2 linked regions of the Mytilus edulis genome follow. The protein of the gene in region 2 interacts with the protein of the main gene of each other region in a pairwise test. Links are inferred from orthologs where the notes say so. Each region holds a gene or a part of one and is shown on either strand. Other genes may lie near its edges.

Region 1 (7,124 bases), on a different chromosome or scaffold from region 2:
ATTGGACACAGATGATGCTCCAACTGCATATCACGTTATAAAGGGACATAAATGCAGAACAAGAAAAGAGATCCAACCCAAATTTGAACTTGATCTGTGTTTTATGTTAATAAGCTAAGCATTGTGAAAAAGTTTATTAAATAATATTTGGTTGATAACCAACTAAATTTTGATATTTTTGGGACGTACATATGGACAGAAAAGGGTATCACTTAATGCCCCTCTGCTGCAGTGGGGGCATAAAAACACAAATAGTTTGTACCAACCTCATACAATTGTTTAAAAAAATAAATAAAAATTTTACAAAATACCTCAAAGCAAAAAATATAAAACAAAGTGGTGAATCAGGGCCTTATTCTAAGAAGGTAAAAGTGATAAAGAATTCTATGTTTTCATATCCACATACATTTTGACATATGTATCATAATCATCATTATCATGCATGAAACTTATTCCTGAAATATCCTTGTATCTTCTTGCATTTTTTCTTGACAAATGCAAAGGAATATAATTGTTGCTTACACATCTTTGATTCAAACCATTTTAAATGTACAGTGTAGTACAAAATGTATATAAAAGTTTCAAATTTTTCACTTTTTCTTTGTAATTTTTATCAAAATTCTAAAGAAACAGAAATTGCTTGGTTCTATATATATAATACATGATAATTAATATAAAAAAAAAAAGATGTGGTATGATTGCCAAGGAGAAAAATCTCCACAAGAGACCAAAATGACGAAGAAATGATTAACTATAGGTCACTGTACGGCCTTCAACAATGAGCAAAGCCCATACTGCATACTGCATAGTTAGCTATAAAAGGCCCCGAAATGACAATGTAAAACAATTCAAACGAGAAAACTAACGTCCTTATTTATATAAGAGGCAAGCAAGTCTTTGCTATCTCAATTACTAATATACAAGGTACATACATGTACATGATATATGACATTATAAATATTTAAGTTTCAAAAATAAACTGATAATTCAGTGATATGTTTTGCCTGCCAGAAAGATAATTCTTATTTAGAAAAAGAATGATGGACCTCAACATTGCAAATTAATTGGACCATGACACAGAGGGCAAAACTTAAAAATAAACATTAAACTGAGATGTACTGATCCTCGGAATCAAAGTTATCCTTTAGGATTTTTTTATAACGCTGTGCCCTGTTTTCTCTATTGCTGACATCAGATGACACTAAAATAGTTTTTGACATTCTTCAAGTCACATTACTTTAGTGCAATAAGCAACAAATGGTATAAACTATTTATTGTTAATGTTATTTTATTAAAGCACAATTTAAATGATATGGGGTATTTAGCATCACGAAGCAAATATCTCCACATCACAATTTCCCATATTTCCACAAATGACCTTGGGTACAAGGCTTTCCAGATGTGACTGCCATACTTCCATATCATCCATAAGATGTGCCACATATTCCATAAGAGTTGGGACATATTGTTCATACATTACAAGTAAGGTTGTTTCGTTCATACTTTAAGACCCGTTGGTAGCCTTCGGCTGTTATATTCTCTTTGGTCGGGTTATTGTCTCTTTGACATATTTCCCATTTCCATTCTCAATTTTATCAAAGAATTTATTCCATTGTGGGGATAACTTAAAATATAACAAAGCAACAGGTATTAAAAATGTATTTCATTGTTACATCTTTTCAAGGTATGGCCCATACAATGTACATTTGTACATTCTTTGGACGTAGTGGCAGTATGAATGTTGCATCCAGCATTTTGTTCAACGGGGGAGTTCATTCATAATAATGAAATTGGAATCTCCTGTATCTCAAGATATCAATAAAAAGTTGGTGTTTCTTTATAAAAATAATTCTGTGTGCAGTGTAAATGACGTCATTGTACTGAAAAATGCACAATTTCAAAAGTTATCTGTAAATTGCATTTGTGTATAAAAAATTCTAAATTGCACAATATATCCATCCCTAAATAAAGCACACTGACCTTGTACATGTTGTTATAAGCTGAAGGAAACTGGGATCCAGTAATGCAAATTTGATCAAAACTTGAGAAATGATGTGAAAAATAAGTCTACAAATGTATGGTCATGAAAGAAAATATTTTGCCCTGTTTAAGGTAAAGTTCTAAAGTTAGAACAAGACAAATGTTTAAAAAACATGAAAAAGCATGTCCTAGAAACACTGCCAAGAAATTTTGACAATTATCAGACAACAAATATTATGGAAAACAATTAAAAACAATGTGTTGAAATACCAACATGTAAAACACAACAATGTTAAAAAAGTGATCTAGTGGAACCAGCTTGAAGCACAGGTGCTTGGTACCAAGGTGCTTGTTTTAAAATAGTGGGTCAGACCAGGTTTTACTGTCAACTGCACACTTTTTACTGTCAACTGCATTCGTTATCTTTAAAATATAAATTGTTTTAAGTAAGATAGCAACAGCCATTGACAGTAAACTTGCCAGAATATTCATCACTTTGAATGTGGGCAGTATTTGGAAGAAGAAGAAGAAGAAGAAACCTTGTCTACCCCACTAAACAAGCCCCTGTATTTGAAAACACTGTAGTGCCCGCATCAAACCTTGAGAGCTTCAAACTGACCTCACGCGCCATCAATAAATCGACTTCGCTCTCTCTAACTTAGTTTTAAAGACAGTATTGGTATCAACAACCTACTCGTACAGATGCAGATATGAATCAAGCGTTTAGTCTTTAGACTTTTTAATTGCATGAAAATTCTACAGAAATTTATAGTGAGGTTTACCAGTTTACCATCCCTTTTACTGTTTTAGTTTTACTGAATGAGTTTTAGTGGTTAGGTCTAAGGATGCAGAACAAAATTTACAAGGATGAATATGAGATTCAATATCTTACCACATATTTATCTTAATTGTCAGTCCATTTTCTCTCTAACTGTTGTCTAGATTAGTATAATCAAGAATCTTCGATATGTTGCTGATCTAAAATTCCTAACCGGAAGTCGATTACTGTGTCAACATTCTAGGTCCCAAGTACGCTTCTAATAACGTGTTTACTAATAAAGCGCCTTTGTGACTGTTTTAAGTTTAAAATAATCAGAAAAAGTGAAAATGTTTACAAAAACTGTCAAATGATTCACCCTAACAGCTGCTGTGCCTTAAAAATGGAATCTGTTGATATTTATGGTATTGCTTTTGATTTCAAATTTGAAGTTGACAACACTAAACTGCAAAAACAAGCAGATGGATGTTCTCAAACTTGTAGTTTGTTATGTATCACTGTGTTTGTGTTTCAGTATGATAATCATTGTCAAATTAATTTTAAGTGTATGCCCCTTGTCCTTGAGGGTCCATGATTGAATACCAGTCTCCACTCTCAAATACAGACCTAGCACCCTAAGGCTTGTAAATTTCCTTTTGCCCAGTCTGCATGGTAAGCCACTAGTAAAATTTTATTCAGACTAGTGAGTTTTTGTAAAACTTTGTTTGGACAAATAAGAAAAATGTCAGAATATTGGTCTTCGGACTAGTAGCTGAAAAAGTTTTTGGTGCAGACTGTTTGCCATACCCCCACACTCTACAGGCCAACATAAATTTGTGATCTAACTAAATTACAGTGGAGAACAAGGTGTCTGAGCAGCTGGTGATATCGCACATTAGCTGACTTCGTCATATAGGGAATGTAAAACAAATATTTTGTAATTGCCAGATCTATGGAGTCCATACAAAAATCACATTTCCTTTGTTGTGACAAACATTTTTTTATTGTTCCATCAAATTTTTACAGGATCCTGTGATATGTCCAGTTATGGCAAACAAATAACAATAAGGTGTAAAGAAACCATTAACTTGATTTTTGGAAGATTATTTCCTTATTTTAATTTTTTTATTACTAGAAAAAAATTGTGGAACTTAGGTGGCCGAGTGGTTTGAGCAATCGTACTTCTGTTCAACATAACTACTTTACCCTCTTGCTGCCAGTTGTTTATCAAGGTTGCATTTTGTGTGTTAGATAAAAGAATGTACAGCAGCTCAATGTTTATGACATTAGATGTACAACAATCATGACAATGACATAATTTGATACATGACCGTTACATTTAGTACACATTGATTAAAAATATAACATGGTTTAATCTTTGGTCTTTGAAAAAGATACAGCTATGAGGAGAAGTTTGTGAAAATTAAAACAAGGACATATGTGTCCCTCCGGCACAGTCTGTGTGTACACATGTGTCCTTCTGGCAGCAAGAGGGTTGAACTAGCCTGAGAGGTGGTGAGGTTCATGTAGAATCCTGCACATAGCAGGTGCATGCACTTTACTCCTCTCTTCATTAACAAGAATTGTGAGTTTTCCTTTCAAAGGGTAAATGTTTTCTCAAGTACTCTGGCTTCCTCAACTATCAAAAACTAACCTTCACGAAAATGTAAAATAGTGCTGAAGACTAGTACATTAAACAGCAATCAATCAATCTAACTTGGAAGTGTCAAATCTTAGCAACAAAGGCTTACTCTTAATAGAAGTGAATACAACATTATGTCAAATATAAAAAAGAAGATGTGGTATGATTGCCAATGAGACAACTACCCACAAAAGACCAAAATGACACAGACATTAACAACTATAGGTCACTGTACGGCCTTCAACAATGAGCAAAGTCCATACCGCATAGTCAGCTATAAAAGGCCCTGATAAGACAATGTAAAACAATTCAAAAGAGAAAACTAACAAAGTTCATAATAAGAATTTGAAAAGACAAAAACACATCTGGTGATGCATGTACCTGATGAGCTCCCAGAGGTTGTTTTGTTTGTTTTACTTATTATACCTAAAAGTAATCAGATATATACAAATTTTTTTTAACAAGTTATGACTGTTGATTAGCTCACGGTAGTAAAGTTTTAATAAGCATGTATGTAGCTTTTTCAATTTTCAAAAAATATCCTTGATTATTCATGAGGATTTTGCATGGCTGTCTACCAAATTAAATATATCTTATCTTTTTTATTAATGATATTTAAAAAAAAAAAACATCAAATTTATCTACATTTTCTTTAATCATCATGCATTTGTACTTATTTTAAAAAAAAAAATGGCAGTATATTTCCAGCATGTTCAGTTTATTTTGTTTTTTGTTTACAGAAAGAATTGTGGATGGTTGGGAGAGAACAGAGACAAAAACCGGTGTTCCATACTATATCTGGTAATATGATAGACTTGTTATTTAAGCTCCGAAAGTATCATCAAATAATTTTAGCATGCCAATGATAGTCGGTCAAGTATTCATTTTTCACATGTTAACTTTTGTATAAAGTTACAGGTCAGAAAATAATAATCTATTGTAAGGTACAAATCTAATCTGAGAGCAATGTTACATGCATGTGTTTGCATAAAATATTGTCACAATCTTTTTTCTTCAGAATTGCATAGTAAACAGTCTTCATATATGAATCATAAATATGATGAGTGCATTTCTATTCAAGGGAACTGCAAAAACTTCAATCTTCAAAGAGTTTGTATTTGACATTTATTCATTGCCTTTCAACTTAAGTTTCAAGTTTAATTTATAGTTATTATATGGGATGGTACTAACTTCTGTTTTACCACAATAACCAGATTTTTTATTACCAATTATAAATTAATTCTCTAGTGATTTATACTATGAAGGAGATGACAGGATTTTGAAATGAGGGTAAAAAAGTGGAGATATAAGTTAAAGGTGGTAGAAAAGTGGGATCTGGGATGAGAAAGGTTTAACTAAAAAGTGGGAAGTAGCCAATGGTGCCCCCTTGTCAAACCCCCTAAACTTTGTTTTAGCATATATTTTAGTGTCTAAGCATGTGATGTAGATATATAACTGTTTTAAAACTATAAATCATTTATTTACAGTCACAAATTACAAAGAACAACATGGGACCATCCATACTTGTTGAAGACAATGGAAGAATTGGGTAAAATTTTATAGATAGAACATATAATGATCAATGAACTAACACCATTTTTTCTGCACATTGCATAACAGAATCAATACACAGCGATGTGGTTATCATTATACTTTTATTAAACTGCAAACATCTTTCTTTACCACTTTATTCAATCTGACGATGTAACATGATAATTGTTAGTAAAAGTTTAATGAAGCTTGAAGAGAAGCTTTATCATATTTATTATAACCAAATGACAGAATTCACAGCAAAGTTTTGAAATTACATTTTGCATCTGTAAATTCAGAAATTAATGCATGCATTTATTATTGCTTTTTTTTACTTTTTTCAATTTTTAGAAAAATCTAGTTTAATTCATATCAAATATTTCAAAATGCATGTTTAAATAATTGCGTTTACAACTCTGTTGCATTTTCCCAATAATAAAAACTTTTCTGAGTTTACAGTATTCAATATTACAAACATTCACATGTATATACATTCTTTGATAATAGTTCTTCTTGGAAAGTTTTAAATCTTAGAAATAATCTTCAAGATCAAGTAGTAGCACCTACAGAACAAATATCAAACTTAAAAAAAATGTTCCTTTATTTTACTGATGAGTAAAGTTGGATTTTGATAAACAACTTTACAATTTTACACTGACAGTACGTAGTAATTGCAGACATAACATATTAGTTTTAAAAATTAGATTTATTGATGGAAATTTGATATGTTTATTAAGAGCATACCCAAATGTTTTACAGGAGATTACAGTCGTATAAAGTATGCTGCTTACAGAACAGCTTTCAAAATCAGACATCTACAAAAAAAATTCAAACGTAAGTATGAAATATTATTATAAACACAGGCCATAATCATGCTGGGGAAATGATGATTTAAGTCGCTTAAGAAGTCTTAACAACTGACTTACTTCATAGCGAAGTCAAATTGCTATCAATCTTCATAAGGGAGACAACTTGTAATGTACAAGTCGCACAGTCAAACAAATATGGTGACTAACAACACATGACTTAAACTGTCGACATCTAATGTAATAAATATAACAGTCACTATGAACATCTTCTTATTTAACAACTTTGCAAAGTTGATTAAAAATTGTGGTCTTAAAAGTCTTCCTCATAGAAAAAAGTAAAAATTCTGTGAACAAGGAACAAATTCTCTGTTTTATTCTGAGATTGTTTTCCAATTATAGGTTTGTA
Region 2 (7,229 bases):
CTCTGTCAGTGACTTGTCACTGAAACCAGAAACATGGTGCTTGCTTTTATCACTTGCTAAAACTTTAGCTCGGTTGGGATTAGGGCAAGCAACAATATCTGCGTATACTGACAGCTGAGTGTAGACGGATCAGAGGTGTATTTCCCTTTTCATTAGAAGTCATTGGTCTGAAAAAATACATCTACTTTCATCATCTGCCTTTTGCTTAGAATTCACCCCTTTGTTATTTGCAGAGAGCATGTTCATTCAGAATTAATAAAATCGAATATGGTTAAGATATTTGGTATACAACTTTTTAAAACAAAAATATTTTAATGAACAGCTGACCATTTTCCGTAGTTTGACATTTATTTTCGCTTCTGTGTGCATTATTGTTAAAACCTATCTTTGACAGGTAGATATAAATGAAACTTCGTTAAAGTTAAGACCATTCAAAGTATTTACTGGTGACATTATACAGAAGCTGCGGCAATTCCGTACCCGTGTTGATTGTCACATATTTCCCGCACGGATTCACGATTGATGTTCAAAGATTATTTTCTTTCTAAAAATATGACAGTTTGAGACGAATTTACCTTGCAAGCAACATTTTTCACTTTCAATTAAAATAAATCACTCCTTGTTATCGTTAATCAAAGTTTATTTAAATTTTTTCAACTAAAAATACTCTCATTCATAATTTTCATCGTAAATATCTTTAGAAATGTGTATTCAAATTTATCACATGTATTGAACACGTTCTTTGGTCGTGTTTAAAAAGATTCTTCTTCTCGACCAATGAAAAAAATCATTATTTAAACGGTCAAGTAATCACACACACAATGTGTAAATACAATGTATTTGCGATCTATGGTCATCTATTTCTTTCTGCACTGAAGTTTTTAAATTTTTAAATTTTCTTCTAAAAATATCTATTTTCTTGATGATAATTTACGCTATTACATGATAAAGAGTCCAATAAGGCTGAGATTAGCATGGCTCAGGTAAAACTAATTAACAGATATTGCGTAACACTGACCGACCTCTCAACGATGATCAGCAACTTGACAATTTTAACAAACATTTATTATGAAAATGTGAATATATACACGCTGCGGGATCAAGTATCAAGGGACAGTGGCCAATTAAGACGCTGCAGGATATACAAAAATATTATGAAGGCGCTGCGGCACCTCAGCTTCATATCGGCCTGGGGAGATCACAGTGTACATGGTTTTTTTATAAGATGAAAAATGCAAGGAGTATAGGTATTCAGAAGGAAATGTACATAATGCTTAGAAAATCTATTTTTAAAGAACTGTTCATACCTCCCTTGACAGACCATCAAACTGAAAGTCATATTGACTATTTACACTGGATGAGACAGAACTACTTGTGCTACATGTACTGTCAACACCAAGAACAACTTCTTCATATTGCACATTATCATTGCTATCTAAGTTCTGATTGTTGTTGCTTGATTCAACATCACTTTGGTCATCAGTGTTTGTTTCTGACTGTACATTATTATTGTTGTTTTGCTCTACAGCTGGTGCTCTTGCAATTTCTGGTAAATTATTCAAACCAACCAGAAATGTTTCTATTTGTTGAGCTGAATGAGATCTTTGCCAAACAGAAAAACGCCTTAAAGAACGTAAATCTTGAATAAGATTTTGATATGTCAAATCACTGTAAATTGATTTAGGATTACCACTGCCATAGAAAGAATTGATGTTGTTATTGATGAAGTTAGTTGGAGCTAATGCAGCTGATGATCCTAGAATAATTTCTTGCACTTCTGGGTAATTTACATAGTGAATGTTCATGTAGTTATTCAAGTCAGTCCTCAACAAACTCAGAACTATGGCAATTTGCACAAGTCCATCAACAAAGTAGTCTTTAAGCATCTTGTCGATACAACAGGAAGTACTTTGTGGAATTCCTTTCAAAAGTTGTGTACAATGGTTTTTTTCGGTTTCTTGTCCTTCACTTTGTGAATTTTTATCAATAAGCTGGTGAAAATTGCTAATCCATAATTTCTTATAATTTGGTAAACATCTCAAATGATTATTAGTTTTTAAATAAAGCTAATAACAACAATGCCTTTGTTCCCATTTTTAACAGGGAGCGCACGCGGCTGCCATGACACTGACAGCTACTACAGGGAGAAAATAGACCAGTTTCGTTAAAGTTTGATGTTATAAGTGTATAAATTGTGTAGTCTGGATTGTATTGATATATGTTTGTATCGATATTGTGCGAGATTTCAACTAAAATTCGTGCAACACTCTGTTTCTTCTAGAATCTTCATAACAAATGTGATTCAGCGAATTAGAAAATGACGTCAAGTAGTTCGGAATCCTCCAGATTTTTATTTGTAACAATAAAAAGTTCGAGATACTCCGAAGGACAACTTCCGCTCACCTTTACTAATTTGTTTCCGGGTAACAAACAGGTGAACCGAGAAATTGATTAAAATACAGAGCCTCTAATGACCTTTACGCTTCATTTCCCTCCCATTTATATTTCAAAAATCCAAAAAATTGATGATATAAAAAAATTGTCTAAAAATAAAGTATAATATGGCACACCGGTCATCACTATATTTCAATTGACATTTTACAAAACTGGGTCACACAAGATCACACAAATTCCCAGTGAAAATGTAATGAACCCTTGGATTAATATATATAAAGAAATTATTTCCATTAATAACTACAATAGCAAACTTACTTGTGTCAGAGAAGTATTATCTACCGACATAACAGGTTCTATTTCCATCATCTTCACTATTTTGTATCAATAACACACGTGACCTAATTCACAAGGCAATACACAGATGATAAAAACCTGATTTACTCCTGTTTTTCCTGTTCACCTGGGATTTGTTACTAATTGAAAATACATTGAATTAATTTGATAAAATCCACAGTTTATGTCGCGAAAAATACATTTCCAATATGTATAAAATTCATGTACTGTTTCACTTTGATAACACCTTAGACCTCTCAATACACCATTTAATGACAATCCTGACTATGTAAGAATTACAGAAAACGATTGGATAACAGTACCACGTGATAATTGTATTTAATATATACGGTTCATTGTTCATTGACAAGCATTGTATTATTTAGTTTTCGTTTATTTTCTGTGCATACACCAATATATCATCATTAGTTTTTCAAACCCTTGTTTTCATGAAAGATTCTGATTCAAAAAAGTTTTAAAGTTAATTATTAAAATTCTAAAGTCCCTGTGTTTAAGTTTTCGTCAAACATGTCACGGTGGCCCGATTCACACTTGGATTTGCTATTTTTATCAAAATACATTTTCCAATTCATTTACGGCCGTCTTATTATATTTTTTCTTCTTCATTGTAATCTACGTGGACAGCAGTATTTCAACTTCCCTTAATTAAGAATTGTCACAACCGTGTATAGTCTGGGAATAGACAAGTATACCTTTATTATGTCCCAGAAATAGTTTACTTTGATTCACAACGTTAGATATTTACAAAGGGAACATTAAAACTCATAACACTTGAATACCGAGAAGTTGTGCAAATTAATAATGGAGCGAATTCATATTTTCCGGGGACGTAGCTAGAATGAAACGATGTGCAAGCCTAGGAAGTACCGCCGAGCGGAGCGAGTCGAAAACTTTTTGGGACCCTTTTATGAAGAAATTTATTTTTTCGGTTCTCGGTCATAGGACGGTTAAAAGAGGAGCTATATGTAGATAGGACTTATAAAAAAATTATGAATGTAAAACTATTAATAAATCTTCCGAATAGAGTAATACATAAACAACCGACATATTTGAGATACAGAATTTACTCAAAATTGTTCAAAATCGGCTCTTCGGGTCTAGACAGAAACAAACTTCTCTATTACTTTGTCAATATTTACACTGAAATCCCGATGAATATGCAGTAATGCTAGTAACTGTCGTTGTTCATTGTTGATCGTACATTTGTTTTCAATATATGTAGTACACTGATAGATCTCCGTGGAAGCACTCGCGAGATGTTATAAACCAGCGTACGTGTTCGGCATCGAGCGACCTCCCAATTGAATTCGTCAAAACTACATGCCAGGTCAGTTTCGTATGTCCCAGACAATGTTGAGATTTGTTCGTTTGATATATTTCCTACAACACGATGAAGCAGATACAACGCAAAGAAGATTTTCTGGTAATACTAGACGCGACTCCACTCTGCAGTTCCCTTATCATATGGTCTATGAACGCACATGGCCTCGGCATATTTTCAACGATATCGAAGTGTTCTGATAATTCTATTGCCGATTGGTAAATCTCATTCCAAACTGATGAACCGTACACTGTAAAATGTGCTCCAAAACTACATGTCTTAGACTGAGTAATAAGTATTACAAATTCAAATCTTGTAAAAGATACAAGTTACTGTCCGATTTTGTCATACTCTCCAATATAACTTTCATTTTGAAACCTAATGCCGTTATTTGATGGTATTTAATGTCTTTCATCAATTAAAAAAAGTAACAACATAGCATGCCGAATCGATGTGCACGCAACTGCGTGTTAGCGTATAGGGAGCCCGGCGCCTGAATTTCAATCTATTCATAGTGGCTTTTGTGACATAAGGAAGAAAGTATCGCCAAAACGATATTGGAACTTTTTAGTACACATTTGATGGATTTTACTTGAAAAATAATATTATCATGGTACATGCAGTAATATTTTTCTAAATTTATTTCATTGAACTTGGCTTTAAATAACTTTAAAAAAAGAATGATAACGATATTGTTATTATATTTGGCTTTTCATGTATTAAATGATAACCATATACAGTATTGGTTTTGCTTGTTGGTGAAGGCATTTCCGTGTCATCTGTAATTGTTTTTATAGATGTGCTTACGTCTAATGCACGCTTCACTTTTTATTGACTAAGTGGCTCAAAAGAACGACTTTATGGCCCAAAATATCGAATATGAGCCTTTATCATCATTTGACGTCTATCAGTTGCCCGTCGTCTAGTTATATATACGTTCAAACAAATATTATCCTCGGACACCACCGAGATAAAACTGAGGCCACTTCCGAAATTTGTATGGATTGAAAATTGACAGGGAAAATTATCTTGTATAATTTGAAGAGACAACTGTAGTAATCGCTGTTCAAATCATTAATGCCATTAATCTATTTTGAAAATACCAACCATGACCAACAGAATAAAAAAAAACACCAACGCAATGGAGACTGCATGGTGCGTCGATAAGCAGAGCGCCTGATGCTGTTTATGCACCGTCCGCCACTAAATACAAATCCAGACTAGTTCAAAATAGGGAATATGACATGTTTTGTTGTTCTTGAGTGAAAATCTGAACAACTTCACACTGTTTCGGTAAACAGGATAATTTAGACTCCAATCTAAGACATTATTGAAAAAATCTTATCGTTTTCATTTGCCATGATGTATAAAATTGGTTCTTCGACAGTTATATGCTGCATGGTCTTTTCTCGCGCCCTAAGACCGTTTCATTGGCTAACGTTAACTTACTTAATACAAATTATCAGGTTGCCTGCATATTGAAATTGTTAAATATCAGCTTCAATTCACATTATAAAGCTTATCGTCGAGTTAGGGCAGGGCCTCAGGGTGTATGAATTTTCAAAACTGTTGTAAAATTCTGCATGTTTACATCCAGCTGATAACACCAAGAAAACTATACTAATATGAGTCTATGCTGGCAAATTGATCTTTTTGTTGTACAGGGGACTTCACCTTGCCCTTTATACTTCTTTGATTGGGAGTATGGACTGGGGCTTATCTCGCCTTTTCTTTTACCTTTTTGGTTTGAACAGGAGATTATTCGTTGTTTATTTTTACGATGCAACTCTCCGGCAATCGTATTTCTTGCAAAGTCCTGTTGTTCCCGATTCTGCTCTCACAGAAGAAAACGCTTTTGATGTCTGGCCACACATTGAAGCGTCTACCGATACAAGATCCCTTGCGAACAAACAAAATGTAGACTCGTTATCAAAATTCAAGTAGAATTTACAAACCACGACATTCGAAATGACAATATATCTCAACATTATTTATATGGTCCAAGAAAATTGAATATAATCTTAATACAATTTAGATGTTCGGCATCCTTTTAAATTGAATTGTGACTTGTTTAGAGCTAACATCATATGTGATCCAAAATGTAAATGTGGTTTGGATATTGAGGACATGTACCATTATTTCTTTGATTGTCCTTTCTATATCTTAATCAGTTAATAAAAGGGCTATATACTCTGTTTAATAGTCTCAGCTGGCTTCCCGAAGGCTGCGATTTGGACTAAAAACTATTGGGTTTTGGAAAAGAAACTCTGTCCTATGACCAAAATGTGCAAATTGTTAAACAAGTATTCAATTTCAAAATATATCAAAAAGATTCCTCGTAGTATAGTATCATATGTAAAACGCACATCATCATCATTATCATTTTCCTAATCTCTATCGTTCTCTCCTTTTTTCAGTATAGTCTAGAAATATTTAAGTTGTTTGTTATCATATAATGAATACTCACGTTCAATTTGTATTATTATATATATATTGTATTGTGAAGAAGACTTTATAAGTATGTTTTACTTGTGTCTGATTCATTTTTCTTTAAACAAATAAGATATATTTAAACTAAACTAAAAAAACCCCTGATCTGATCGTATAATTTTGTCCTTTTTCAATGTCTATGTATGCCTGAAATGTAACTGAATGCATCTGGACATACATTTTTAAATAGGGAGATGTGATACGATTGTCATTAGACAACATTTACTGTATGGTTTGTTACACCAGAGTTCTTTTTGCGTGGATGTCAAATGAAGATGTATGTCTTTCCCTTTTAAATTTAGTATGTTTATTGTACTCTGTGTCTGATCGTTTTTTGTTGTTGTTTAATATCGTCTCCTTGATTGGTGGCGGCCGACCCTCAGTACATTTTGAACAGGTGGTATAGTTTTGCAGATCTTTGACAACTTCTTCTGTATTCGGTAGATGTGGGTTTTCGTATAATGTGAATCAATGATATTCAACTTTATCAAACGTTGAGTAAAAAACATCACTTTTCCACGGTGTCCATAGTTGAGACTTCTGACATGGTTGTGCATATGACCCATTAGACACGCTGAAGTCTCGCCGTTTATGATGTGTTGCACGAGAAACTGGGTGCCAAATTAGATTAGGTCTAGTGTCTCGTCATAAAATTGATCAAAGGCAC

The links. The genes of interacting proteins can lie anywhere in the genome.
Region 1: the proteins of nuclear factor erythroid 2-related factor 2-like (region 2) and kelch-like ECH-associated protein 1 interact in binary tests that used the Homo sapiens proteins (3 or more experiments, as listed by UniProt). The link is inferred for Mytilus edulis from reciprocal best matches to the Homo sapiens genes NFE2L1 and KEAP1.

The regions. Positions count from the first base shown.
Region 1 is NC_092344.1:32,807,645-32,814,768, forward strand, and holds the start of kelch-like ECH-associated protein 1, read right to left. Parts: upstream 3,023-7,124; 5' UTR 2,873-3,022; intron 1-2,872. Other genes in the region: dystrophin-like, read left to right, coding at 3,108-3,162, 5,120-5,180, 5,867-5,928, 6,669-6,743. UniProt on the Homo sapiens protein: Substrate-specific adapter of a BCR (BTB-CUL3-RBX1) E3 ubiquitin ligase complex that regulates the response to oxidative stress by targeting NFE2L2/NRF2 for ubiquitination.
Region 2 is NC_092345.1:73,244,213-73,251,441, forward strand, and holds the start of nuclear factor erythroid 2-related factor 2-like, read right to left. Parts: upstream 3,014-7,229; 5' UTR 2,764-3,013; coding exon of another isoform or gene 2,713-2,763; 5' UTR 1,887-2,712; coding exon 1,308-1,886; intron 1-1,307.